Saccharomyces cerevisiae S288C: one gene and its partners. Changing the gene in region 1 together with any one later gene gives a genetic interaction. Each region holds a gene or a part of one and is shown in the gene's direction. Other genes may lie near its edges.

Region 1 (4,580 bases):
TGATGATAATGATGATGATGATGATAATGATGAATAAACGTTTCGGTTTACGAGTTTCTTTAAATATACATATATGATATAAAAAAAAAAATACGTACCACTTACAATTTGCAAATATAGATGATCGAAACTGCCATTTATGGTAAGACAGTGGATGACCAATCTCGATGTGTCCACTGGCATCTTCCAAAGGATGTAATTGCCATCAGGTTTAAATGTTGTGATAAGTACTATGCGTGCTTTGAATGCCACCAAGAGTTAAGTTCTCACCCGCTAGAAAAATATGATCTCCTTGACGATGCAAATAAACACTTGATTATTTGCGGAGTTTGCCGTCATGAAATGACGTTTGCAGAGTATTACGACTACAATTCAAACCTTATTTGTCCCAATTGCAGATCCCCCTTTAATCCAGGCTGTAAATTGCACTACCATTTGTATTTCCAGAACCCTCCCCCCGCTATGTGTTGAGTGTTGTTCTATAAATGCATGCCATCTTAAGCTCTGCTGTGCTCTTCTCGTTAAGGAAAAAATGCGATGGTATATATATAGATATATATATATATATATGTATCTGTATATATATGTTCATACATATATATATATCTATTATTGTTGTTATTATTATCGTGATTATTATTTAGGTCCTCCCTTCTTTTTACCTGTTTTTAATCTACCCTCAAATCCGGCTCTTTTCTTTGGTACGGCACTACCGACATACTTTCTTTTCATCTTTTCTTGCTTATTTCTCTTTTTACCCTTGTTGTCTTTCCTAATCCTCAGATTCTCTTCTCTTCTCTTTTGTCTTTCAGATATCGTGTCTTCCACAACCCTCTTACGTTCGCTCCATTCAATCGCAGACTTTCTCTTTTGTGCTTCCTTTCTCTTTATAGCTTTGCGAAGTAGTTTTTCGTCATCCCTAATCTTAATTCCTTCTGCTTGTAACATAGCCTTTTGCCATTTTTCCTTTTCCTTCTGCTTGATTTGTTCTAGTTCGTCTTTCGCCTCCATCTTATTCTTCTTGGCTTCTAATAACTTTAAGTGTGATTTTACATCATTCTTAGCCGGACCCTTCGTTCTACCAGCTTTTCTTAACCTTTGTAAATCTGAAGTGGCCCTTGCACCATCATCGAATATGATATTTTGAAACATTACACCATCTGCGTTAATTTCTGAGTCCTTCTTGCCTTTTTTGAATCTTTTTTTCGAATTGTTTTCTAAATCACTATCGATGTCTTCCATATCGGAATCAGACGCAATTTCATCCTGATCCTGTTCCTGTTCACTTTCTAGACGCTTTCTTTTTTTCAACTCTTCCTTGCGTTTCCTTTGAGCAAGAATAGCCTCTCTAGAACCGGGTGCTTTCCTTTTACTCTTCATATCTGAAATTTTCGCTTGTAACTTGGAACGTAGTGCTTCCAAGTTTTTCTTTCTTTGTAGTTTCTCTTCCTCTGTAATAGACTTCTTTTCGACAGATCTATCGGGCTCTGTAGTATCTTTTTTAGATTCTAATGGTATTTCATTTCCCTCATCATCAAAGATCACCTTAATATCCTCTTCCTCTTCTTCATCTTCGTCTGGTGCTATTATCATAGGATCGTTTACTTCTACGTTCAGGTCGGAGTCTCCTTCCACTTTTGATGTTGCTTCCTTTTGCTTTTGCATTTTCATGTGCTTGAATTTTTCACCAGGTAGGACCACCGGCTTTGCGTCTTTCTCCTTCTTCTTCATTACTTCTAATGTACTAGATGTTTCATCATCACGTTGCTCCGGGTCTAATTTTTTCAGTTTATCATTTTTACTCTGTTCTTTGGTTTTCTTCTTGGCCTTCCATTGCTCTTGACTTTTTTCATCATAATAGTATTTTGCAGGAATTAAAGCCAATAAACCATCGAAGGCGCTTGAATTAGCACGAAGGCGCTCCTCAAGTGAATTACTCATCTCAGTCTCCTATATCTTTCAATTCCCGGACTTTCTTTATCACTTGCAACAACGTCTCAGTCCTCACTTGTTATTCATCTCTTGGTCATCTCATCTCTTTTATTGTACTTTCCTCTTTTCTTTACCGGAGATGAGAATAAAAAGAATTCATTTTAAAAAATTTTCAATTTGGTGTCTGGGTGAAACTTTTTAATCGTGTAATCCCAATTAAACCACTCTACTTTACTTTAATTGGTACACGAACTCATTACACACCTTTGCCTCTATTGCTTGTGTCAATCGTGTTGAGAGAGGAAGCCCAAAACAAGGGAAATTAACCTCTGTAGGCAAGCCATCACATTTGGCAATAGCAGCCCTCATTTAATTTAATTCGGCATGTGGCCGGCAGGGTAATGCGCTCTGCTGCTGACAAAATTGAAAGAAAAATTTTTTTCATCAACAGTTTGCAATACTTTCTTTTTCATATTTAATTCATCCATTCCGTCGTTAATTTTGTTCAAAACTGGTGTCCATCCTTAATACCAACTCAATTCTTTGATTTTGGCCCTCGATAGATTCAAGATGTCCCAAGGTACTTTATACATTAATAGATCTCCAAGAAACTACGCTTCTGAAGCTTTGATTTCTTACTTTAAACTAGATGTCAAGATCGTTGATCTAGAACAATCTAGCGAGTTTGCTTCTTTGTTCCCATTGAAGCAAGCCCCTGCATTTTTGGGTCCAAAGGGCTTAAAGCTAACTGAAGCTTTGGCTATCCAATTTTATTGTATGTTCCATATTTTATTTTAACACTTCCACATACATTGTTTTGCGCGTTTCCCGTTCGTTTATTTGGCACGTCATTTTTCTTCGAAACATAATGATGAAAAAAAATTTTATCAAACAGTTATCCCTGTCTGAATGGGTAATAATAGGTAACCTCTCATATGTTGATATTTGTATTTCTGATATGTTTCTTAAAGAAAAATGAAAGTCAAAATAACAAAAAGGAAGTACAAAGCGTGTCCTAATCCAGGAAAAAATATAAAGGATTGTTTTACTAACATTTCTTCAATTAATGGTTGTATAACCATCGAGATGATGTATATTTAGTGGCTAATCAAGTTGCCGATGAAAAAGAAAGAGCTCGCTTATTAGGTTCCGACGTTATCGAAAAGTCTCAAATCCTTAGATGGGCATCTCTAGCTAATTCCGATGTCATGAGCAACATTGCTCGTCCATTCCTTTCTTTCAAAGGTTTGATTCCATACAACAAGAAAGACGTTGATGCTTGTTTTGTTAAAATCGACAACCTAGCTGCTGTCTTCGATGCTAGATTGAGAGACTACACCTTTGTTGCTACCGAAAACATTTCTCTAGGTGACCTTCATGCCGCTGGTTCTTGGGCTTTTGGTTTGGCCACTATTTTGGGCCCTGAATGGAGAGCTAAGCATCCTCATTTGATGAGATGGTTCAACACTGTTGCTGCTTCTCCAATCGTGAAGACTCCATTTGCTGAAGTCAAATTGGCTGAAAAGGCTCTAACCTACACTCCACCAAAGAAGCAAAAGGCTGAAAAGCCAAAGGCCGAAAAGTCAAAGGCTGAAAAGAAGAAGGACGAAGCTAAGCCAGCAGATGATGCTGCTCCAGCTAAAAAGCCAAAGCACCCATTGGAAGCTTTAGGAAAGTCCACATTTGTCTTGGATGACTGGAAGAGAAAGTACTCCAACGACGACACCAGACCAGTTGCTTTGCCATGGTTCTGGGAACACTACAACCCTGAAGAATACTCCATCTGGAAGGTTGGTTACAAATACAACGACGAACTTACCTTGACTTTCATGTCCAACAACTTGGTCGGTGGTTTTTTCAACAGATTGTCCGCTTCTACTAAGTACATGTTCGGTTGTTTAGTTGTCTATGGTGAAAACAACAATAATGGTATTGTTGGTGCCGTTATGGTCAGAGGCCAAGATTTCGCTCCAGCCTTTGATGTCGCTCCAGACTGGGAATCTTACGAATACACCAAGTTGGACCCAACCAAGGAAGAAGACAAAGAATTTGTCAACAACATGTGGGCTTGGGATAAGCCTGTTGTTGTCAATGGCGAAGATAAGGAAATTGTTGACGGTAAGGTTTTGAAATAATCTCAATAACTCTTCTTCCATATTTTCTTCCCAATATACATAAGAGTCAAACAAAACGAATTTTCAAAAGAAAAAAGAAAAAAACCCTGAAGTCTACTTCATGATTACCCCATACTTACGCGTGGTTTAATTCTATGTAACGATTAACGTCCATGTAATCATTATATATATATATATTGTAATAATCTCTCTAATTGAGTATCACAATCTGCTGCGGTTACTCTAACAATATTTTGCATAAACTTGATTCTTCTCTTCTTATTTCATGTTTCAGTGGGGCATTTTCCATTGTACTTTTGCAACAATAGCGAAAAAAACAATTTTCCGTAAAGAGAAGCGTCAGTCATAAACGGTGTATGTTACCCGAACTGGAATGAATTTTATCTTAAGACTGGAAAACAATTTAGGATAGAACTGAAGATAGTGCAACACGTCTGGTGATATCATGTGCTTTCAAGCAGGATTTGTCACAGTGCTTTAGAAACACAAACAAAGGAGGTATATAGAAGTTGC
Region 2 (4,717 bases), on another chromosome or scaffold:
AAAGAAAACGTCAAGAATCTTACGCCAAAAGTGCCTAAGATTCAAGTATCTCTGAAAGGCGTACCATTTTCAACAAGGGGCATAGGTGGCCGCAAACTAGGATAATTGACAACTTAGTTTCATATTGACAATGTCATCGCAATTGAGGAGATAGCCATAATTCGGGAGGGTACAAAACCTGACCTGCTAGTGTTCAACTAATGCATCATGGGTACTATAGAGAGCATTCTAGTGGTAGAAAAAAAAAAAAAAACAAACTTTAAACCGGGTAATATAAACTTCTCATATGGCTTTTCTCCAGGGAAAGAAAGGGAAGGGATACTTCAATGACGAAGGCTTAGATGACAAGCTAATACAGAAAGGGAAAGGAGCAGGGCATCGGAAGGAAATGTTGCATTTGGAAGATGACAATGGACGACAAAGGTCAGTGATAGCGAATTTGCAGAAATTCGTTTATTGCTGCCTGTACTTGAGGTTTATCAAAGATGGATCATTATTCTTGATCCTCCTGGGGTGGATAATTTCATCGCTCTGTGATTTCATTCAGGAATTGACACTCAGGTACCTGAAGAAGAACTATTTAGAGGTGGGCCGCGACAATGATCAGGAAGATGATGAAAGTCTTGCCATCAGAGGGTTAGAAACACCTATTGTAAGAATGATAATAAACAAAGCCATACGATATTACCAAGGCCTAATACTTCTAGAAACAGCGTACTGTATAGTATACCACATTAGGCTAGACGTATCGAGAGACATATGTTCCAAACCGTACGGATTTGTGATAATGCTTTTGATAAGGGAATTTACTTGTCCGGTACCCACAGCGTTTCCTAGCAAGCTACTTCTGGTACTACTCGATATTTTATTACTTTTCTGCCAGATTGTAATAATAAACGGCTCACTGAGCTCGAGTCTTCAGAACGTGAAACTTATTGTCAAGGAGTTGAATGCAGAAGAAGAGGGCGCACTCAACATTCTCAAACTTAATACCTGGCACATGGATGCAACCGGACCGGAACTCATAGTACTCAAGAATCATGACAAGTCGATTCCTCAACAGGCAGACGGGGATGACGCTACAGAGATCACTCCTCTACTGAATATCGCCGAATAAATTCAAGAAAGGAAAAGAAAAAAAATTACCAAAATGAAAAGAACGGAAAAAAAAGATGAACAGAAAATAAAACAATACGTGGTTCTTCTACTGTCCTTCCCACATCGCCGACAGAGAAAAGACAAGCAAAAAGATGGGCAAGAAAGCACACGGAGGAAAGATGAAACCTGAGATCGACGAAAATGGTACTCTGCTAGTACCGCCACCAAGGACGATTGCGAACCAGGACCATTTCCATAGATTAAACTACCTCTACCAAATATCCGCTTACCAAACAAGAGCAAGACAGAAAGCAAGAACAGACGCACATACGCCTTTGGCACGCAATTATATCAAATCAATGGACCTAATTAGTAAGAAAACCAAGACATCACTGCTTCCTACGATAAAGAGAACAATTTGTAAAAAATGCCATCGGTTGTTATGGACCCCAAAAAAACTGGAAATCACATCCGACGGAGCGCTTTCGGTAATGTGTGGGTGCGGTACCGTTAAACGTTTTAATATTGGCGCCGATCCTAATTACAGGACCTACTCGGAGCGGGAGGGTAATCTACTAAATTCTTAGGGTTATTGGTAGGGTTTTGGACCAATGTTTTGAGCAGGACAAAAATGCGGAGTTTCCAGATTTTCTTTAAGAGCCGACCCCCCACCCCCTTGCCCCTATACATGGGGTACGTGCCTGTATTTTGAGGGAAAACTACGACATAAAACACAGGGAAAAAAACGAGACGCCCGTTTGAAGAAGGTAATGTAGGATTCCGTCTTGCCAGCATAGCGGATAAACACCGCAAGGAGGTGTTGTGGTCGGTAATGAGTGGCACGAGGTGTTTGCTAGGCGTCGGACTACCAGTTGATGTGACTGCTACGGAAACTTTGACTCATGATGAACAAGGACCAGGTGTAGAGCCAGGACCGTGTTCGCGAGGAAGTTCTATAGATGGTCTGCTGCCCTCGTTGCTCGGTCCACATGATGATGTGGATGACGATTCGGCGGCTTTTCACAAGTACATGACACTATCGCGAGATGGCGCAGGCGCCATCCATGCTCCGTCATTAGTCGAAGACGCCTCAAGGAACGACGACGACGACGATGATGAAGACGACGACGACAGTTCCATGTCGCGAGACCTATCCAAGGCTCTAGATATGTCATCGTCATCATCGTCCAGCCCGCGCGTTCAAAGTCGGCGGCACCGTAGTTCTGTGAGCGCAATATCTGCAATCTTACACCAAGGAAAATCTGGCCGCGAAGACATAACTGGAAGCCTTAGCGTTCCGGCAGAACAAGAAAAACTCAGTTTTCTTGCCAAAGCCTCGAGTATTTTCTTTCGAAGGAACAGTATGCCCAGAGACAAACATACGCATTCAGTATGTCCCGCTAGCCGCCCAGATTCCGAGAGATTTATCGTCACATCTGCAGCCGCGCAGTCTTTACGCCGCCAACAACAACTGGAAGACGCTCAGTACGCTCGAGTTATTACAAACTTTCGTACTATAGGATGGTGCTCTCCCAGCGAGATAGAGTCTGTGGAATATAAACGGTCCTTGATCAATGCGGAGTGGGACGAAAAGATCTCGCTTTTGTCTCACGCGCAATGCTATAAATAATAAATATACATATATATATATTTATATGTAGATAGATGTGTGTATATATATGCTAGGTAAAGAAACGGAAAAATCGAAAAATCGAAGTTGGAGAGGAAAAACAAGACATCAGGCCCGCACGTTTCGCGGGCTACCTGCCCATGTTCCGTCTCTTAATGTCATTCAACAATTTCAAAGACTTAATCTCGTTAATGTCATTGAGCTTTGCTTTCCAAAACTCATTTTCCTTGTTCAATTGCTCTATACGATCGCGAAGTTTGTTGATTTGCGTGTTTAAGTTCTGCAGCTTATTCATGTTCTCAAAATTCTTTTGTTTCTTGCGAATGCGGAACCGCTGCGACGCCTCTGTGTTCTTTCTTCTCCGCTCTTGCTTAATCTTATCCAGTTCGTTAGAAGTGCTCACGGGAGCTTCCTCTTCTTTTACAACAACTGCTGTTGTTGCGGCAACCTTCCCCTTTCTCGGCTCGCGGAGCTTCTTAAACTGCGAGACATCCTGGCCATTATTTATCATGCTAATGAGCTCCTCCGCGTTGCCACTGCTAACCAGCAGCAATGATAGCAAGCGCGAGCCCAGCTCTGAATCGCTTGATATCAGGTTCTGTAGATGTTCCGAAAGATTGTTCACGTTCATACCCTTCCTGCTTGCAATGTCAATGTTTGTTGATTTCTTTTCCCACCCTTGTTTCGCACTCATATTGACGAACAAAACAATTTGTCTTCGTAACTACCACTGGTTATAAATAGTTAAATTCAAGTTACCTCGTGTTCTTAGTCATTGGCTGCCCGGCCTTGACTCACGCCAGTGACCTACAACTATGGCGTTTCCGCTTCCCGCCCAAAACTGTGGTGTTAGAAAGTAGAAAAAGGTGAAAAAAGCGAAACCTAAAACCAAAAAAAAAAAATAAGTCACGTGCACTCAGTACCCCTTCTATTGTATTTTAGTTTACCTATTGGGCCGGGCGGGCCCCACAACTGTGGCATCTTTCAGATCATTTTTTTCCAGAATGCATGGAACTGACGAGTGAACTTTTATTCCACGGAAAAGGACAAAAAGGTGCAGTAATGGAATGGTCTTTTTGCACGGCAGTGATGTCGCTATCATATCAATCACTGAAAGTGAAGTTAACCATATTACAACAAGTTCACACAACATAAACAGTGTAACTAGCATATTATCACAGTCATGGCTCTACCTCTGATAAAACCTAAGGAGTCTGAGGAAAGCCACCTCGCTCTTTTGTCCAAGATCCACGTGTCCAAAAATTGGAAACTGCCTCCAAGGTTGCCCCATAGAGCAGCTCAGCGGAGGAAAAGAGTTCATCGACTTCACGAAGATTACGAAACTGAAGAAAATGATGAGGAGCTACAGAAGAAAAAACGGCAGAATAGAGACGCCCAAAGGGCCTACAGAGAACGCAAAAACAACAAGTTGCAAGTGCTGGAGGAAACCATAGAGTCACTGAGTAAGGTCGTTAAAAACTACGAAACGAAACTAAACCGCCTCCAAAATGAACTTCAAGCGAAAGAATCGGAAAATCATGCCCTTAAACAGAAATTGGAGACCCTTACTCTGAAACAAGCCTCTGTGCCTGCTCAGGACCCTATCCTGCAGAATTTGATCGAGAATTTCAAACCAATGAAGGCGATACCTATTAAGTACAATACCGCTATCAAGCGCCACCAGCACTCGACAGAACTGCCTAGCTCTGTCAAATGCGGCTTTTGTAACGACAACACTACTTGCGTTTGTAAAGAACTGGAAACAGATCACCGTAAAAGTGACGACGGTGTGGCCACAGAACAGAAGGATATGTCGATGCCACATGCAGAGTGCAATAATAAAGATAACCCCAATGGGCTCTGTAGTAATTGTACTAATATCGACAAATCATGTATCGACATCCGGTCCATCATCCACTGAAGAGAGAGAACTTCTTAATACTTATAAATACGTCATTGAACAGCTCAACTTTTGTAACGTCAAAAGAA
Region 3 (5,145 bases), on another chromosome or scaffold:
CGCCACTCCTAATATAAGTGGTTCTTCCAGTCAAATTTTCAATCATGCTTCTCCCAATCTTGTAAGTAATGTTATCGTACAATGGAAAAGTGCATCAGTCCGTCTATCGTCATTCACATTCACACCAGCATTTTCTAGCGGTGTTAGTACTGTAACATTACGATAACGTCACTCAATATTTATTGAACACATTAGATGCAGAATACTTTACCCGTGGTTCATCTAGCTTCTTCGAAAGCGACAGTAGCAAATCTGAACCTCAATCCACGGGCGTTTTAGTTGCTTCTAGCCAATTCTCAAATGATTCCTTCATAACCTATTTGGACCAGGTATTCACTAGTACCACAACTCCAGTCAGTGCTTTTAGTAAATTTTCGCATACCCCCACTATTGGTACCTCAACTACTGTAGCTAGTAAAACTTCTGATATATTCAATTCATCATCTCTCAGCATTGTTAGAACGGTTGCGCACAAATAGCAGTACTCAACATGTATCTAGCACATTAGCCACAGAATACTTAGCCGCTGATTCATCTATTTTGTTCGAAAGTAAAGATAGCAGGTTTGCATTACAACCAACTTACACAAATCACAAGTATTTTTGGCGATCCCTCAAGCGATTCCCGCCTAATCCGTTCTAATTGGATCTCGACTAATATCACAACTTTAGCAAGCTCCATCAGCAAAATTGCACATATCATTGCAACCAAATCTTTGATTGATTCACCGACCAGCATTCAAACGGACACTGTTATTGTAGTATTTATTAGCTCAAGGGCTGTCACCCCTATAAACTCTAACATTATTTCTGGCCCATTCTTGAGTACTTATTTCCTCTTCTCAGGATACAAGATCTTGTACATTAGTTCCCTTTGTCTTATCCGACTTGTTCGCAATTCTTTAGGCTCAATGGCTAGCTCTAGCCAATTGTCTGCTCAACCTGCTTATACTACCTTAAACGATTTTACTCCGGCCAATCCTCCTGTGCAATTGTCAGACAGTTTGATTCTGTCAGTCATATTCTGACCTACAATTTGACGCTTTCGCCTTTTAACTCATTGAGCAAAAATAATACCGTCATTACAACACATCCAACAATCGAAAAACTGGCTAGTTCGACCACTAAAATGCTAAGGCATAGTTCTAGAGTGCTTCCCGGGTTTCGGATAAATCAATATATTAACAAAGCGAGCCACTTCACCGTCCTCTTTTGAACCCAAAGCTTCTAATATATTCTTCACTTTAACTACTTTCATGACTATATATAAAGAATGGACAATCGCTTTCACAAGCACATATTTCACCAAGTATCTACACTAAATGTCAACAACGTTAGGATGGTGGAAGAGCAATTAATGATTTTAGTACCCTGGTGTCCATTCTCCAGACCTGGCGCCGTGGATAAAACTACGAAGACGTTTGTGGCATCTTCGTTGTTGGACATCCATACATAAGTCGCTTCTGCTACTGTTAAACATACTTCTGTGCCCATAGCGGATAATAATATATATACAAGGAATATCATCGGGCGTCTAAGTTTTGGCATTGAATTAGTGTTTGGTCTAACTAGAGGTACTGATGTAGCCGTCACACCAGGATTTACCAAAATCGTAATCTCTACCAACAGCACCAGTGCAACTCCGCAGAACACTACAGCCGGGACCAAAACACATGAAAGCGGTTCGCTTCCAGCACCAAAAGCTACATCACCTATTCCCGGAGTTATTCTTTGAGCGCACTTCTTTTTAATAGTACTACTTTCCGGCCATTGAATTATGCCGAGAGCTGACAATTTAGTATATTACTGTATATCTAGTTCATTCTTCAAAATAAAGAATGCATAACCATTTTTTTATGTTTTTTCCGGAATTGGCTAAATTCACAAAAAAAAAGAGCATAAAGCGAATTGAATTGTCTCGCCAAGAAAACGCACTGAGAGGACGATTGATCCTCCAGACAAGATCGGAATTTTTACTTTTCTGTTTTTAACAATCACTCATGTGCATTGCACCTTACACATGGCGTTCCAAAGGCTTACCTGGTGTGTTTTCTTCCATGCGCGATTCCGTGCTCACCGCGGCTTCGCCTATATTCTACCTGTACTCTACACGTTTATTGTTAAACAACCCCGGAATATCTTCCATGCCAGTTGTTTCAGGAACAAAGCCCGTGTTGCAAAAAAAGAATGGCGTGGGGTGGGGTGATTATCTAGACCATGGGATGCAACTAGGAAAGTTAAAACTCACCTAGCAAACTGCTGTAATTTCCGCTTCAGAAAACAAGCTCGACTTTTACCCCACGAAGCCTAACCATCGAAAGTAAGACAAAAATTAGCAACCGAAACAGACGGTTAGAATTTTTCTTCGCTGCAGTAAAAGCATTGGCGCCCAGTATTCTCCTTGCACCTGGTCTTACCTCGAACTTTTCTTTTTACATCTTTTTCATTTTTTTACTTTTACCCCGCATCCTGCAAACCCCGGAAATTTTATTAGGAATAATTTATTTCCCGGTTGGAAATAAACCGGAAAAATGAAGATTTAGACGCTTTTAAGGAGTACGTGTTCCTGTCGTTTATCCACTAAGTATACTGGTTGCCCCTGGCCAGATCTCAGTATAGCAGTGACGCGTGGGTTTCAGGAAGAATGGCAGTCCCCTTTTGTTTTTCCGCATTGTGTGAGCTTCTTATGCCCCTGAACCCCACTATTCTGCCCCTTTGAAACTCCCGCACGTGTGCCCCGTTTGTTGGAAGATAGCGAAATACCTTACTGGAGCAACCAGGAAAAATACTCTGGTTGCAAAAACCAACAAAAGAAAAAATGGAAGACCTAAGAACTATGCATTTTTTTTTAAGGGGTTGATGAAAAGAAAAAGTTTCTTTCTCCCCCCGGATTTTGGTACCTTAGGACCGTTGAGAGGAATAGTAACAAGTGAACGCAACAAAGATTGTTCTCAACTGCTTCTGTTTCCTCCTTTTCTTTAAAGAGGAATATTTCGTATATAAGCAATCGGTTTCACTTCCTTGGGAATATTCTACCGTTCCTTCATCTTGTATTCTTCTCTTTCTCTTAGCGCAATATATAGCAGAAGAGCAATAAGAAACAATTGTGGCTTGCAATACTCAATTAGAATTCTTTTCTTTTAATCAAACTCACCCAAACAACTCAATTAGAATACTGAAAAAATAAGATGGTTCATTTAGGTCCAAAGAAACCACAGGCTAGAAAGGGTTCCATGGCTGATGTGCCCAAGGAATTGATGGATGAAATTCATCAGTTGGAAGATATGTTTACAGTTGACAGCGAGACCTTGAGAAAGGTTGTTAAGCACTTTATCGACGAATTGAATAAAGGTTTGACAAAGAAGGGAGGTAACATTCCAATGATTCCCGGTTGGGTCATGGAATTCCCAACAGGTAAAGAATCTGGTAACTATTTGGCCATTGATTTGGGTGGTACTAACTTAAGAGTCGTGTTGGTCAAGTTGAGCGGTAACCATACCTTTGACACCACTCAATCCAAGTATAAACTACCACATGACATGAGAACCACTAAGCACCAAGAGGAGTTATGGTCCTTTATTGCCGACTCTTTGAAGGACTTTATGGTCGAGCAAGAATTGCTAAACACCAAGGACACCTTACCATTAGGTTTCACCTTCTCGTACCCAGCTTCCCAAAACAAGATTAACGAAGGTATTTTGCAAAGATGGACCAAGGGTTTCGATATTCCAAATGTCGAAGGCCACGATGTCGTCCCATTGCTACAAAACGAAATTTCCAAGAGAGAGTTGCCTATTGAAATTGTAGCATTGATTAATGATACTGTTGGTACTTTAATTGCCTCATACTACACTGACCCAGAGACTAAGATGGGTGTGATTTTCGGTACTGGTGTCAACGGTGCTTTCTATGATGTTGTTTCCGATATCGAAAAGTTGGAGGGCAAATTAGCAGACGATATTCCAAGTAACTCTCCAATGGCTATCAATTGTGAATATGGTTCCTTCGATAATGAACATTTGGTCTTGCCAAGAACCAAGTACGATGTTGCTGTCGACGAACAATCTCCAAGACCTGGTCAACAAGCTTTTGAAAAGATGACCTCCGGTTACTACTTGGGTGAATTGTTGCGTCTAGTGTTACTTGAATTAAACGAGAAGGGCTTGATGTTGAAGGATCAAGATCTAAGCAAGTTGAAACAACCATACATCATGGATACCTCCTACCCAGCAAGAATCGAGGATGATCCATTTGAAAACTTGGAAGATACTGATGACATCTTCCAAAAGGACTTTGGTGTCAAGACCACTCTGCCAGAACGTAAGTTGATTAGAAGACTTTGTGAATTGATCGGTACCAGAGCTGCTAGATTAGCTGTTTGTGGTATTGCCGCTATTTGCCAAAAGAGAGGTTACAAGACTGGTCACATTGCCGCTGACGGTTCTGTCTATAACAAATACCCAGGTTTCAAGGAAGCCGCCGCTAAGGGTTTGAGAGATATCTATGGATGGACTGGTGACGCAAGCAAAGATCCAATTACGATTGTTCCAGCTGAGGATGGTTCAGGTGCAGGTGCTGCTGTTATTGCTGCATTGTCCGAAAAAAGAATTGCCGAAGGTAAGTCTCTTGGTATCATTGGCGCTTAATGAAAAAAATGTAATGAAATATAAATGTGTTTTTCCCTCCCTTAATATTATTATTCTTATGAGTGATGCCCTTATGTTTTTTTTGCGGTCTAGTATATGTAAATATAGACACACACATATATATATATTTATGTGTATAATCCTAGCTAATAAACATTTTTAGATTGTTATTAGTATAATTTTTTCCACTTACTTTGTTCTCCGGGAGAGAAAAAGTTGTTTATTTTGTAGTAATTTTGTGCACATATTATATATACAAATATTACACAATATTTTCAATACTTATGGCATAATCCATTGCTTTTTCGATAATGTTTGTCTTTTGGTCTTCTTCATGCATCATTTCATCTTCGTAATCAGCTTTCTCCTTTGATTGGTTATTGAAGTAAACTTTCGAGTTGACAATAGGCCAGTTTCTCTCTAGTGCAAATTTTTCAGTTTCTTTTTCGTTGTTGAAAAAGAGCAAAGCCTTTATGTTGGAGAGAGGGAGAAAGTCGTAG
Region 4 (5,801 bases), on another chromosome or scaffold:
CTGTACAAGACCGAGTGTTCGTTCCTCCTTTAGCATAGAAAATACGGTTATTAGATTATTGGGGCATTTGGCCTGCTTCCATCTTAACGCGAACAAATACTATTCAAGAACTTGTGCTACCTCTTGAAACCAAATGTTAAACTGTTCTGCCATATTTGAAAATAATTTCAAAGTTGTGGGAAAAATATTTTGCCATCATACGACAAACGTTTCTCTGGCTGTGACTGATAGTCGTGTAGGTCCTGTATTATCTTGCTGACAAACATCTTAAAAAGTCTTTTGGAAAAAGAAAAAAATAAACTTTCCTTCTTTTTTTTTTGGTTCCTGCGGCTCTTTCAAGGGGCTGCCAAACCTTATATTCTCCTCCTGTCATTTTAGAAGGAGAGGTAGCGGTCTTTTCTTTTTTTTCGTGCCTACACGCGCACATGACGATAAAACTGGCCCAGGCGAGATCAGATCAGCATTTGCACGTTGCATTTTACTTGTTTTCTTATTGGCAAAGAAAAAAAGCTCGGAACAAGCCACTAATACCCGATTCTATGCTTACAGAATAACCGATACTACTGGAAAGAAAAATTTTTCACATTAGTTCGCTGCATCTCCATGATCGTTTAATTATTTTATATTTAAGAGAAGCAAATCACTTCCTCCAATGTCATGATGGTCTTGGCAATTTTCCTCCCCTTGTTGCAAAAGTGTAAAATAGGTATCCACATCATTCATAAGAAAACTACTAATATCATTTTGCCTCCTATTTGCGGCCTTGCTCACAAATTCAGCGACTGCTGATAGAATTGATGACAAGGTGAGCCCTTCATTTGATCTAAGCAAAAGAGACGAAAGCGTTGCTATCAATGGTTGTCCAAATTTGGATTTCAACTGGCACATGAGCCAACAGAATATACTACATTATGATATGGATGTTACTTCCGTATCATGGGTCAAGGATAACACATACCAGATTACTATTCATGTCAAAGCCGTAAAAGATATCCCTTTGAAATATTTATGGTCTTTAAAGATTATTGGTGTCAACGGTCCCTCAAGCACCGTACAACTTTACGGCAAAAATGAGAAGACATACCTAATCAGTGATCCAACAGATTTTACATCCACTTTTCAGGTTTATGCTTACCCTTCTTCTGACGGTTGCACAGTTTGGATGCCAAATTTCCAAATCCAGTTCGAATATCTACAAGGTGATGCTGCTCAGTACTGGCAAACTTGGCAATGGGGGACAACCACCTTCGATTTATCGACAGGTTGTAACAATTATGACAATCAAGGCCACTCACAAACGGATTTCCCTGGATTTTATTGGACCTACCAGTGCAAGGGAAACAATGATGGCACTTGTACAAAAGCCTCGTCTTCATCCATTACTACTTCATCCATTACTACTTCATCCACTACTACTTCATCCACTACTACTTCATCCACTACTACTTCATCCTCTACTACTTCATCCTCTACTACTTCATCCTCTACTACTTCATCCTCTACTACTTCATCCTCTACTACTTCATCCTCTACTACTTCATCCTCTACTACTTCATCCTCTACTACTTCATCCTCTACTACTTCATCCTCTACTACTTCATCCTCTACTACTTCATCCTCTACGAAAACTTCCACTACTACGTCATCTACTGTGAAAAGCTCTTCCACTACATCCATTGATTTTACTACTTCCGTTGACTCACATACTTCATCAAGCGTAGCCGATATTTATCGTTCAAGAACATCTACTGATGTCACCACATTAGCAGCTTCAACTAGTCCTTTCAGCAGTTTCACTTCAAGTGACTCTAGTAGTTCAAGCGATGTAACCAGTTCAACCATTCAAACTACTTCTGTTGATCCAACCACTTAAGTAGTAAGTTCAAGTTCAGAAGACCCAACTAGTTCAAGCGCTGTGACTACTTCAGTTGACCCAACTACTTCAGTTGACCCAAATACTTCAGCTGATCCAACTACCTCGACCGTTCAAACTACTTCTGTTGATCCAACTACTTCAGTTGACCCAACTAGTTCTATAGTCAGTTCTACTTCAGTTGATCCAACTACTTCAGTTGACCCAACTACTTCAGCTGACCCAACTACCTCGACCGTTCAAACTACTTCAGCTGATCCAACTACTTCCGTAGTCAGTTCAAGTTCAGCTGATCTAAGTAGCTCTGTTATCAGTTCAAGTTCAGCAGACCCAACTAGTTCAAATGCTGTGACTACTTCAATTAACCCAACTACTCCAGCTGATTCAACTACTTCGGCCGTTCAAACTAGCCCAGCTGATCCAAGTAGCTCTGTTACCATTTCTACTTCCACAGACTCTACATCTTCAATTGAGTATACTACATCGGATGATCCACACGCCTCATCAAGTTTAGCGGCTATGTATCGTACAAGAAGCTCTGACGAGGTAACCACATCAACAGATCTAACTAGCTCAAGTGACGTTGCTACTTCAGTTGACCCAACTACTTCTGTTATCAGTTCAACTTCAGCAGACCCAACTACTTCAGCTGACTCAACTACCTCGACCGTTCAAACCACTTCAGCTGGTCCAAGTAACAACATCGGCAATTCCACTTTGGCCAATTCCACTACTTTTGCAGTTAGTTCCACTTCAATTGACCCAACTAGCTCGAGCGATGTGATTACTTCAACCGTTCAAACCACTTCAATTGAACCAACTACTTCTCTCGTCAGTTCAAACGATATTACTACTTCAACAAGTCTAAATATCTCTGTCGTGATTTCCACTTCCACGGACTCTACATCTTTAATTGAGTCTACTACAACAGTTGGTCCACATGCCTCATCAAGTGTTGCTGGTATGTATCGTACAAGAAGCTCTGACGAGGTAACCACATCAACAGATCCAACTAGCTCAAGTGACGTGGCTACTTCAGCAGATCCAACTAGTTCAAGCGCTGTGACTACTTTAGTTGACCCAACTACTTCTGTAGTCATTTCAACCTCAGTTGATCAAACTAGCTCAAGTGACGTTGCTACTTCAGTTGACCCAACCACTTCTGTTATCAGTTCAACTTCAGCAGACCCAACTACTTCAGCTGACTCAACTACCTCGACCGTTCAAACTACTTCAGTTGATCCAACTAGTTCTGTAGTCAGTTCCGCTCCAGTTGATCCGGCTAGTTCTGTTGTCAGTTTAACTTCATCTTACCCAACTAGCTCAAGCACTGTGACTATTTCTGCTAATTCAAACGGTTCAGCTACTTTAGCGGCTCAAACTACTTCAATTGATCCAGTTAGCTCCATCGTTAGTTCAAGCGGTGCAACTACTATCATCAGTAGCGCCTCAATTGATCCAGCTAGTTCTGTAGTTAGTTCAACTTCATCTGAACCAACCAGTTTTATTGTCAGTTCAACCTCAGTTTATTCAACCAGACCAAGTGGTCCAACTACTTCAACAGATCTAGCTACTTTCTCTGACACAATCATTCTAAGGGTTTCAACCACTTCAACCAGCCAAGATACCCAAACAGTATCATCTAGTCTAACTGATATGGTTTCCTCAACTGGTTCAGCTGATTTGAGCGTCTCATCCATTCAAAGATCTCAAGTAGACCCAAGCACTTTCGCTGTCTCGAATAGCCCAGTATATCCAACAGCTTCGACCGGATCAACTTCCACGGGCATTCCAATTGCGTCGGAAAGTCTAAGCCTTTCTAGACAGCAAGGAATTTCGGCCACTTCAAGTTCTTCGATTGTAACTTTAACCCCAGTTGATTCGGCTTCCTCGAGTAGGTCAAGCGCAACAAGTATAATCAAGCCTAATATGCCAGTTAGCAGCAATGATTCGAAGACCCAAAGTTCTGTTTCTGTAGTTGACGCATTCCAATCAACTAAATCTTCATATCCTAGCATAACTTCAGCAGACCCAACGACTCTAGCCAGTGAAAATGGTTTAGTCGGCTCATCTTCCTCAGCTCATCCAATCACATTAGATAGAACTTATGCATCAGCTCACGCAAGCGTCACCGATATTGTCAGTAGAGTTACTGACTCGACTCGCCATACAACACTAGTAACTTCAAACATTAACATTCAGTCTGAGGTTGGGAACCCAAATTACTCGGGTCCCAAAGACACTACCATCACCAAACAATCTGCATTTATGACTTCTCCTGCATCAACGTCTACTATAAGTAACGTTCAATCAACTGCTTCCGTAATGAATCACAGTATTGAGGACAATATTTCTGCAGCTGCCTCTCTAGAAAGTGTTTCTGGTACCTCAACTAAAGATTATTCTAGTCAATCCAGTGCCATTCATTATACAAATTCCTTCACGACCACCACTACTAACGCATTTATCACATCAAAGCATTCCATTGCTGCTGTATCAACAGGAGCCATTACATCATCTGCCAGCATTTCATTAATCATGGAAGGCAGCGCAAACATTGAAGCAGTAGGAAAATTGGTGTGGCTCGCTGCCGCTCTTCCTCTAGCTTTCATTTAGTCATTCTACCATCTTTCATGTCCCTACGCCATTCTCGTTCGTATACCATATAAACCAATTATAGATTTTACATAGAATAATAGTTAAATTTGATTATAGAATATCTTCGGATTCAATAAAAAATTATTATTATCAGACTCTTTCTGTCCACTCCTTGAAGTATGCAAAGTGCTTCGAGAACGCCATGACATTCGACAATTCAAAATTGAGAGAGGACTGCTAAGGAAACTCTTTGAGTTGATTATATAATCGCTATTTAATCTTTTAAAGGGGGAATACTGCTAAATTTTCATTATTGTACAACTGGAGACATGATAGGCCTGAAATGTGCCACCAAATTGCATGACCTTGCTAATGAGGTCGCTGGGTTGCGTATGCACTTTTTACCCTGCTCCGCGTCGAAACAGAACATAATACAGAGTAAAGAGGAAAGAGCGAAAATGAAAAAGTTTCTACACTCAAAAGTCAAACCTTTTTAAAAAGTGATGTTCAGATTCCTTGTTTAAGACAAATACCATTGAGGAAGGCGATTGACCCTAACGAAGTATGTCTAGGAAAAGAAGTACTAAGCCCAAGCCAGCAGCTAAAATAGCTTTGAAAAAAGAAAATGACCAGTTCCTCGAGGCATTGAAACTATACGAAGGGAAGCAATACAAAAAATCTCTCAAGCTGCTAGACGCAATTTTGAAAAAAGACGGTAGTCACGTTGATTCCTTGGCTTTAAAGGGTCTTGATTTATATTCTGTAGGTGAGAAAGATGACGCTGCTTCCTACGTGGCTAATGCCATCAGAAAAATTGAAGGCGCTTCAGCATCACCAATCTGCTGTCATGTATTAGGTATCTACATGAGAAACACCAAAGAGTACAAAGAATCTATTAAATGGTTCACGGCAGCTTTGAACAATGGGTCCACTAACAAGCAAATATATAGAGACTTAGCAACTTTGCAATCACAAATTGGCGATTTCAAAAATGCTTTAGTGTCCAGGAAAAAATATTGGGAAGCATTCCTTGGTTACCGTGCCAACTGGACATCATTGGCTGTGGCACAAGATGTGAACGGTGAGAGGCAACAAGCTATTAACACTTTATCTCAGTTTGAAAAACTCGCTGAGGGAAAAATATCTGATTCCGAGAAATATGAACACAGCGAGTGTTTAATGTACAAAAACGACATTATGTATAAAGCTGCCAGTGATAACCAAGACAAGTTACAAAATGTATTGAAACATTTGAATGATATCGAGCCATGCGTCTTTGATAAATTTGGTTTATTAGAGAGAAAAGCAACTATTTACATGAAATTGGGTC

Evidence for each region.
Region 2: mutations in TEF4 (region 1) and YIR016W together harm fitness more than expected from each alone (negative genetic interaction), as found in Saccharomyces cerevisiae (2 studies listed by BioGRID).
Region 3: mutations in TEF4 (region 1) and HXK1 together harm fitness more than expected from each alone (negative genetic interaction), as found in Saccharomyces cerevisiae (2 studies listed by BioGRID).
Region 4: mutations in TEF4 (region 1) and PRM7 together harm fitness more than expected from each alone (negative genetic interaction), as found in Saccharomyces cerevisiae (2 studies listed by BioGRID).

Annotation. Positions count from the first base shown.
Region 1 is NC_001143.9:280,389-284,968, forward strand, and holds TEF4 (translation elongation factor EF1B gamma), read left to right. Parts: upstream 1-2,502; coding exon 2,503-2,707; intron 2,708-2,796; exon of another isoform or gene 2,797-2,891; intron 2,892-3,033; coding exon 3,034-4,067; downstream 4,068-4,580. Other genes in the region: HOT13 (Hot13p), read left to right, coding at 121-471; ribosome biosynthesis protein RRP14, read right to left, coding at 637-1,941. UniProt on the Saccharomyces cerevisiae protein: Subunit of the eukaryotic elongation factor 1 complex (eEF1). Probably plays a role in anchoring the complex to other cellular components.
Region 2 is NC_001141.2:380,698-385,414, forward strand, and holds YIR016W (uncharacterized protein), read left to right. Parts: upstream 1-1,930; coding exon 1,931-2,728; downstream 2,729-4,717. Other genes in the region: VLD1 (Vld1p), read left to right, coding at 389-1,117; ribonuclease P protein subunit RPR2, read left to right, coding at 1,251-1,685; MET28 (Met28p), read right to left, coding at 2,859-3,422; YAP5 (Yap5p), read left to right, coding at 3,912-4,649.
Region 3 is NC_001138.5:253,092-258,236, reverse strand, and holds HXK1 (hexokinase 1), read left to right. Parts: upstream 1-3,187; coding exon 3,188-4,645; downstream 4,646-5,145. Other genes in the region: proteasome regulatory particle lid subunit RPN12, read right to left, coding at 4,908-5,145. UniProt on the Saccharomyces cerevisiae protein: Catalyzes the phosphorylation of hexose, such as D-glucose and D-fructose, to hexose 6-phosphate (D-glucose 6-phosphate and D-fructose 6-phosphate, respectively).
Region 4 is NC_001136.10:380,673-386,473, reverse strand, and holds PRM7 (pheromone-regulated protein PRM7), read left to right. Parts: upstream 1-2,392; coding exon 2,393-4,489; downstream 4,490-5,801. Other genes in the region: BSC1 (Bsc1p), read left to right, coding at 887-1,873; peptide alpha-N-acetyltransferase complex A subunit NAT1, read left to right, coding at 5,036-5,801.